Oryza sativa Japonica Group: one gene and its partner. The protein of the gene in region 2 binds, or shares a complex with, the protein of the main gene of each other region. Links are inferred from orthologs where the notes say so. Each region holds a gene or a part of one and is shown on either strand. Other genes may lie near its edges. The genes, in order: protein TIC 40, chloroplastic; protein TIC110, chloroplastic.

What was found.
Region 1: protein TIC110, chloroplastic (region 2) and protein TIC 40, chloroplastic share a complex: the UniProt entries of both Arabidopsis thaliana proteins name them as parts of the tic complex. The link is inferred for Oryza sativa Japonica Group from reciprocal best matches to the Arabidopsis thaliana genes TIC110 and TIC40.

What each region holds. Positions count from the first base shown.
Region 1 is NC_089038.1:22,290,017-22,294,416, forward strand, and holds the start of protein TIC 40, chloroplastic, read right to left. Parts: upstream 2,835-4,400; 5' UTR 2,756-2,834; coding exon 2,563-2,755; intron 2,054-2,562; coding exon 1,939-2,053; intron 1,859-1,938; coding exon 1,801-1,858; intron 1,714-1,800; coding exon 1,696-1,713; intron 387-1,695; coding exon 134-386; intron 1-133. Other genes in the region: uncharacterized protein, read right to left, coding at 3,689-4,168. UniProt on the Arabidopsis thaliana protein: Involved in protein precursor import into chloroplasts. Part of the motor complex consisting of a co-chaperone (TIC40) and a chaperone (HSP93) associated with the import channel (TIC110).
Region 2 is NC_089044.1:19,363,838-19,368,284, forward strand, and holds the start of protein TIC110, chloroplastic, read right to left. Parts: upstream 2,956-4,447; 5' UTR 2,752-2,955; coding exon 2,228-2,751; intron 1,684-2,227; coding exon 1,624-1,683; intron 429-1,623; coding exon 305-428; intron 187-304; coding exon 118-186; intron 35-117; coding exon 1-34. UniProt on the Arabidopsis thaliana protein: Involved in protein precursor import into chloroplasts. Forms a voltage-dependent cation-selective channel at the inner envelope of chloroplasts, which specifically responds to a transit peptide.

The DNA of each region.
Region 1 (4,400 bases), on a different chromosome or scaffold from region 2:
ACATTTTGTTACAATAACATGAGATATGCATGACAAAAGTATGAAGAAAACATAAGATTAGACACTAATCACAAGCTCCATCCCCTATTCACTGATAGTTGGAGAAGAATTCTCAGAGATAAACGGCCAATACCAAATTTCTTCTTTGGCTGTTCAGCCACATCAGCCTCTTCCAAAGTTCCAGTTGCTTCCACTTTAGTAGCTGAAACATCGACAGTTGCAGATTGAGGAGAGGTATCTTTCCTTGGTTGTGAGTATGGGTAACTGCTAGGAGCTGCAGGAGCTGCCTGTGGTGGCATGGCAAATGGGAAAGGCGAGTTTGAGCCAAAAGTGTTTGGCGGTGCCTGGGTCATCATTGACTTGAATGCTTGTTGCATTGCATATTTCTGCATCAGAATTAGCAATGTGTCAAAACTGGCAAGCAAGGGAGAGTTATACGATTTTAAGTTCCAACAAGACATTATACAGATCAAACCTACAAAGAGAACATTGTATTAATTAAATCAGTGCAACAATGGATACATCACGATATACTTTCGAGAAAAGAAGTGGTGCAACAATGTTAACTCTCTAGTAATTAAAAGAACTAGTGGAAGTGATGATGCTGTATCATCCTCACTTTGGATCTTTTATGGGTGAATTTATGTATACATGTGTGTTACTTATAGGTTTTTTTTGTAAAATATTGCACTATTTTACATGCCAATATTTTGAAGCTGGGTGAGGTGATATGATCATATTTTACATGCAGAATTTACATTAGAGGACTTCCTTTAGTCTTTTATATATAAAAAAATTTGATCTTAGTGAGTACTCCCTCCGGCTCCATAATTCTTGATGTTTTGGACAATGACACGGTCTTCAAAATATATCTTTGACTATGTTTTTCTATTATAATATATAATAAATATATATATTTTTACTTTTATTATTGTACTTTATAAGACAAATCTAAATATGCTGTTCTAGTACCTTTAAACTAAATATTTTTAAAGTTATTGGTAGTCAAAGTTATAAAAATTTGACCTCAACCTTGTCCAAAACGTCAAGAATTATGGAATCGGAGGGAGTACACCAAATTGTTTTGACATCCATCACAATGCATGGATATTATGCTATTTTATCAATATTGAAAAGAACTAGAAATTATGTGATAAGAAAATGAATTGTCTAACAAAACTACAATACTCCCTCTGTACTCGTAAAGGAAGTCGTTCTGGACAGCGACACGGTCTCCAAAACACAACTTTGACTTCTTGTTTCTATAAAAATATTTATTGAAAAGTGATATATGTATACTTTTATGAAAGTATTTTTCAAGACAAATCTATTCATATAATTTTTACATTTTCAAACTCAACAACTTGAGAGTTATTCATGATTTATATTCCCAAGGTTTGACTTAAACATTGTCCTAACATCTTCCTTTACGAGTACGGAGGGAGTACACTGCAACAGTACCACCTTTGCTAGAACATATGCCATGCATTGCTTCAAACTATTAAGAACTAGAAAGGAAGGCATGGCTCACATGTGGGTATGTAGGTTCATCACAAAAAAAGCTCACTAAAATACCTCTCTTGCTTATGTACTAGTATGCAGAGGTGACCATGGGTCATTCTCAAGATCAAGTATGCAATTGATAGGGTACATACCATTTGAAGATGTAGAAACAGAGGAAAGTTGTGAACTCACCTTTACCATCGAAGAGACCTGATATAACAGCCAACACCAAGTATTAAAATACAACTCTAAGAACATTTAATCACAAAAAAGCATTACAGGTAATTGTATTCACACCATAGAAAATGCTGCGGACAATGCTACACCAACTCCAATCCAGAAAACAGGCGAACCGCTGCACAAAGGATTTACATGTCATCATGCAGTGTAAGTTGAGAAAATTGTAGCCAGACAAAAGAAGGGAAACTGGCGCACATGTATGACGATGGGGGTGGCATGGGAGGTAGGGAACCCGTTCCAGTTGACATATTCTCACTGTTGGTCGAAGACGACATGCTTGCAAATCCATTTGTCTTTAATCCCTCGAAACCTGTTGTTACAACTAAACAATCAGAATAATGGAGATCCTCCGGCAGCATAAGATTAAAATGGGGGAAATCCTAAGCTGATTGGGATTGTCTATTCGTCGGCTATTACTACAAACAAGGACAGATATGCTGACCATTTTGTACTCATCATTTGCCACACTACCAATACTGGATAAGGTGGCCATTACTAACTCACCAACTGCCACCATACTACGAAAATAAAGACAGTATTCCATCACGGATGCATGACTTAAGGTCACTAAATTCGCAAGGATAACACACTCAATTCCACTAACGAAGCCCATGGCACAGCGATGGATCCAGCTGATACACAGAGTATAATAAAATTCCTGACAATCCCACAAAAAAAAACACTATAGCACGGACACTTGAAGCGAGCGCATACGAGAGCTTTCAGCGCGCACCTACCCAAAGAGCGCATCCGGCTCGCATCTAACGAACAAACCTAAAACGGAAGCACACCCACACAGAAGCACACCACCCCCCTCACCGTTCCCGGACCCGCGGGCCGCGGCGGCGGCGGCGGCGACGACGACGAGCTTGGACCTCCCAGCTCCCCTCCGCCCGGACGCCGCAGCCGTCGCCGGGAGAGTCTGCGAGGAGGGGCGGCGGCGGCGGGCCGCGGAGAGGGGAGGCAGGCGGGGAGAAGCGGAGCAGGAGGAGGCGAGGACCAGGCTCTCCATGCCGCCTGCTGCGCGCGCGGGGGGAGGGAAAACCCTAGCTTAGCTCTACTGCTGCTGCTACTACAACTACCACCCCCTCGCCCCTCCCCACTCGCGCTAGGGTTTTGGGTGGGTGGGTGCGCGCGTGAGTCGACGAGAGACCTCGGGCTCGTGTTGTGTAGGCTACGTTCCCCCTTTTACCCCTGCGGTGAGTGATAGGAAGCTGAAACGGAGGGGAGTCATCGCCTTCCGCTGCGTGGGGCTAGTATCCATCGCTATCGGGACATTCAGAGTTTCAGACTGTCAGCGGCTCATTTCAGGCACTAATTGCAGACAGCAACATTTAACCACTGATGAAAAAAAATAATACTACTACTAATTAAGATGCGATGTTTCAAAATTCGAATATCTCAAAATGCAATTCGGGCCAGTTCAAAAAATGAAAAGGGAAATCCAGTAAAGTCGAATAAACAACTTTTATGCCTTGTTATTAACTGACAAAGTTCAATGTTTTGGTTCTGAATTTGAGAGAAGAGAGAAAATTAAAGTAATCCCGTTCACCATGGAATGGAGTGTAACTAGTAGTAGTAATTTGTGCCATTGCAGAAATCATATCGCGTTCAATCACTCAAGTTACAAAAGTACAACGGTATACATGAATGAGAACATATGCATACAACCTTCAGTTCACTGTGCTAAGTTATTTCCCATCTTACAGCAGAACAAATGTTCAGAAAAGCCGAACGAGATATTCTAACGTTGAAGGGTTGCCTGCACATATATTTTGATCAAGCAAGGTAGAGCATCATGCAGATCAAACCAAGGGGATTATCTCCTGGAAATGCTAGAAGGGTGAAACCATCCATCATTTTACAGTCTTCCCGAAACCTCAAACAAGAATATGATGACCTTAGCCTATAAGAAAAAACTCGGTGAGTATCTCTGCCTCGTACTTCATATCTGCTGCGCTTTGGCTTTCTTCCGCGCCAGAGCTCTTTCTCTGGCAGCAGCAAGTGCATCAGCATTTCTCTTATAGTGTTCATCCGTGATCTGTGCTGGTTGAGTATTCTGTGGATTCTGGGTCTGAGGAGCTGGTTGGGTATTTTCTGGTGTCTGGGTCTGAGGAGCATCCAAGGAAACATCTGCATTTTTCTCGGTAGATCTAGCAGCAGCTGAATCCCTTGATTGAGTTGTAGCAGGTTCTTCCACACTTCTACTTTCATTGGCCGTCTCTGCTCCTTCACCGGAGTCCCTTTTGTGCTTAGGAGAGCGATCGGATACTTCAGCACCAACCTTGCTAGTTTTAGCATCTTGAACTTTCTCGTCTAACTTTTCAGGTTTAGCATGTTTTGTATTGTCATGTGTCTGTGCACCGAAAGCAACATTCTTACTAAGACCAAAGTAAAAATCACTCAAGTCTTTCTTCTTAGTAACCTGTACAAAAATAGACGAAGGAAACGTAATCAGTTACAGTGAGCCAAAAGAATTTTTTGTTGTGAACCATTAGAAGTAATTTTATCTTAGCAAATACTCCCTCTATCCCATAATATAAGGCGCGGTCAAAGTTGGCACGGTCTTCAAAACGAATGTTTAGCTTATAATTTCTCATATACCATAAGGTTTGTAGTAACAAAATTATAACCATATGAATGTAAATTTAAATCTC
Region 2 (4,447 bases):
CAAGATTTGATACATATATGAGTTTTTGAAATGCCTGCAAAATATTTACAATAGTTATCATCAGGGGCAGTAGAAAGTTTTAAACATCCATTTATGTATCACAGCACAAAAACGTACCCGCCGCTGTTCCATGTCGGCATCCCGGTCCCTTGTTTCCAGCCTTTCTCTGTATATGCGCCTACCAATCTATACAAGCAAAGTCGAAGGCATAAGGAGTAATGGAGGAAATGTGAAAATGGCACTAAAGTAGGAAGAACGTCTCAGGCAAGTAAGATATAAAGGGGCTTGGATCATGAGGCAATACCTCCATGTGCATATTTGCAGCATCTACATCATCGAGCCCAAGAGCATTTTTAAATTTTATAATGGTCTGAACCTCATCACCTTTGAGATCTTCATCTCCTGGAGGAAGTACTGAGTAAAGAAACCTGGAAATAAAATGGAGGTAAGATGGAGCAAAGACACTTCCTATATACACTGCATGACCAAAACAATAAGATGCAACCAATAAATGGTAGATTTTTAAAGATTGATTTTAGAAGAATCTAGTTTAGCTACTGAGTAATGTACAAGAGCTTGCCAAAAGAAGCAACTACGTCTGAGCACATACATACAAAACTGTGGTATGTGAAATGTGATTGGAACAAAATATATATATATACTATATATAGGACACTCATATGGGGCACCATGGTGCCCGGGCACCATGGTATCTAATGTACAAAATCACTCAAATTTTTCAAAATTTTCAAATTGTGAGTATATACCTAGTTATAATAATTCGATTCATATCTATACCTATCAACAAAACAACTCAAATTTAACTTTATTTCACAATCCATGATTACATACCTAACTAATTATATGTATGGATGCTATATACCTAGAATCAAAATCTAACAAAAACAAGTTCAAATTCAGTACAAACATGCTTTGAACTAGTTAGTAAAGTAGTTAATGTTAATACCTAAGTAATTGAAAAAGTTTCATACTCATTTGAATTGGGTATATACTCAATTTCAACAATGGTGCCCGGGCACCATGGAGCACCAAACAAATTTACTATATATATATATATATATATATATATATATATATATATATATATATATATATATATATATATATATATATATATATATATATATATATATATATATATATATATATATATATATATATATATATATATATATATATATATATATATCGAGATGTCCGCATTGATAGATTGGCAATAAAAATGATATTAGTAAATATTATTTTACGTAATATTTTAGCTGTTCTTTGTATATTTCAAGGTATATAATAATATAAATTACTGGATGTAATGGTTGAAGCTCAAATTGCATATCGACAACTAAAAACTGCAAAATAACACCATACTTTGGGACGGGTGAATATTAAGAGAAGAGAGGGGAAACATCCAAGAACAAATACTTGTGTCTAGGAGAAAACAATAGCTATAATAAGGGCACTTGAGCCAAATTCAACACATAGAACACAACAGAATTAGTGTCATAAATACAGTTAGGCTTAGAGGCCATTTCCGTATGGACATTCTTTACCAACATTCAAATAAAGCATTGGAAACAACTGGACAACAGGTGCCAAGAGGATCACCTGGCATACAAATCACAGAGCTCTGCTTTGAAGGCTGCGTCCTGTGTACTAACTCCATATCTGAAACAAAATAAACAGGTAAGACTTTTTGCTTCTGTGTGTGTGGGTGGGGGCAATGTTACATTGAGCACTGCTGCACATACTTAAAAATTCTTACACAAAATGATATCAGCTGTTTGATTTAACTAGATAGGAGTTATAGGAAATGTAGATGAACTCATAACATGACACATTAGTGTAAAGAGAGTTTAATAAGAAAAATGTAGTACGTATAGCCTTTTCCTTAAACATTTTAGTGCAAAAATATAACTATATGTCCCATCCCTAAAGGTAATTTTAGCCGATCAAATGTATTATCGAAATAATTATAGGTTCCTTATTCGCTGAAACAAGCTACACCAAAATTTTACTAGCATTCCGAAAACAAATGGGAGCTTCAAAAATAAATGAGTAAATGCTAGGAGGGCGCATAAATTGGAAGGAAAATACAGATCACATTGCAGGGTGGGAGTCAAGACATCTGATATATAATCGAATCGAGCATACGGGCCATACGGCCAATGCAGCACACCTACAATATAGTCGAGCAATCGAGACGACTCACTTGGTCGCGAGGGCCTCCACCTCGCCGCTCTCCAGCTTGGTGGGGTCGTCGCATCCGGCGACGTAGTTGTGCAGCCCGACGGCGGCGACCTCCGGCACGACGGAGTTCACCGCGGCGGCCCCGGCGACGCTGGCCGCCCCGAGCACCGCGGCGCCCGCGACCGCCACGGCCCTCGACCCCCCACCCGCGCGGAGCCCGATGCCGTACCCCGCCGCCACCGCCGCCGCGGCCACCGCCAGCTCCGCCGCCGTCCTCGCCGCGGGCGGCAGCGCCTCCACCAGCGGCTGCACCCCCGCCAGCTCCCTCCTCGGCCCGAACACCTCCTCCCCCGCCCCCACCGCCGCGCGGCACAGCAGCCTCAGCCCGCGCCTCCCAGCGCGGAGCCTCGCCCCCACGGAGGAAGAGGAGGCGCGGGGTCTCCGGGGAGGGAAGCGGAGGAGGGGGAGGGGCTTGAGCGGCGCGAAGAGGAGGGGCGCGGGCGCGGGCGAGGGCGAGGGCTTCGCGGAGGCCAGGGCGAGCTCCATGGTCGTTGTCGTGGGATGATGGATCCCCTGCCGCCTCGGTGTTCGCGGGCGGCTACTCCACCGTCGTGGTGGTGGTGGTCCTCGTCGGCGGCGGCGGCGAAGGGTGGCGACGGGTGGTGGGGGGGAGGAGGTGGTGGTGGATGAGGCGGAAGAGGCGAGGTGGAGGAGGAGGAGATGGGATAGCGTTACGAGGCGGGGATTGGTGAGGTCGGGGCAGGGGCGGCTGGACCAAAGGGAAGGGTTGGGGTTGGGTGGGCGCCTGCGACCAGCGGTAGACGTGCGGTGCACCGGGAGAGCGGGTTGTCGCCAGGTGATGGCGTCCGGTGTATCGTATACTGTATGCATGCATTGCATCTCACATGAACAGGGCTACACAAGTATACTGGTTGTTGGTATTGGTATTGTGGAATGCGTTTCTCCCACGAAAAATAAATAGGAACCATCCAAATTATTCAGTTGTTATACTTCCTCCGTTTCACTAACATCTATATGAATGTGGGCAATGCTAGAAAGTCTTATAACCTGAAACGGAGGGAGTATTTTTTAGACGGATCACCGAGGAATGAATTGCTCACATAAATATATTACATCAAATGAACTTACACGGAATAAATAGAGTGAATACATGGGAGTCACCCCAAAAGACACGTGAGACACACTAAAAGAAATACGAGAGAGAGAGAGAGAGGAGGTGTGTGATGTTTTCCACCAATAAGACCACGAAACCAAACTCCTAGTCAGGATTACTCGGTTACTTATACTTCTAAAATTGTATTGATGGTTGTTTTATGCGATTATCTTCTTCTTCTTAGAAGGAGGTAATTATGATTGTCAATATTGGGCACTAGCTTGTTAGACTACGGTGAAAACAAAGGGGAGCAGAAGGTTACATACTGTCAATCTCTACAATAAAGTCATTAAGGGTGAGAAAAATATAATAGTGTGAAAGTAAATTCATCATACGAGATGAAAAATAATATGTAAACAATAACGCATCTGGAGGGACAAGCGGGAACGACGGAGGTGGTGGTGGTGAGAGAGAGTTTAGCTTGCACATCTATAAATGGTGGCCTGTGAATAATATGGTGATTTCTAGGAGAGATAAATAGTGGTAAATACGTATTGTATATGGGGTTTATTTCGATCACAATTAGACGTATGTTAGATGAGTTTATCCTATGTCGTACATGAGCAATCATTCATATGATGGCTACTTATTACACGTCATTCTCAACATTCAAATGTTACAGTAGTATTTGAAACATTTGGTTAAAAGATGTGAAATTTAATAGAAAAATTAGGCTCGCAATTATGACCTCTCACACACGATGTTGAATGGGATGTATATATATAGATGTCGTGCATAGCATTGCTTTTCTACAATTTGTTTTGTTCTCAGAAGTCATTTTCGATGTCTATTATAAGTGTCCATAACACATTTCATGTGATTGCGATATTTCTGTGATTTTGTGGTCATCCGTCAAGCTTTTCTCCACTCCTGAAGTGACCCTATTTTTCCTACTACCTAGAAGAGATGATTTGTAATTTTATACTCCATATATTTTATTACTATCACTTTACAAGTGTTGCATTAAATACTTAAATATATAACACTATGCACAAATGTAAGCACAATTTTTAGTGCTTTTGTTATAACAAAGATAAAATTCATATCGTTGGAGATTATTTGGTTTGC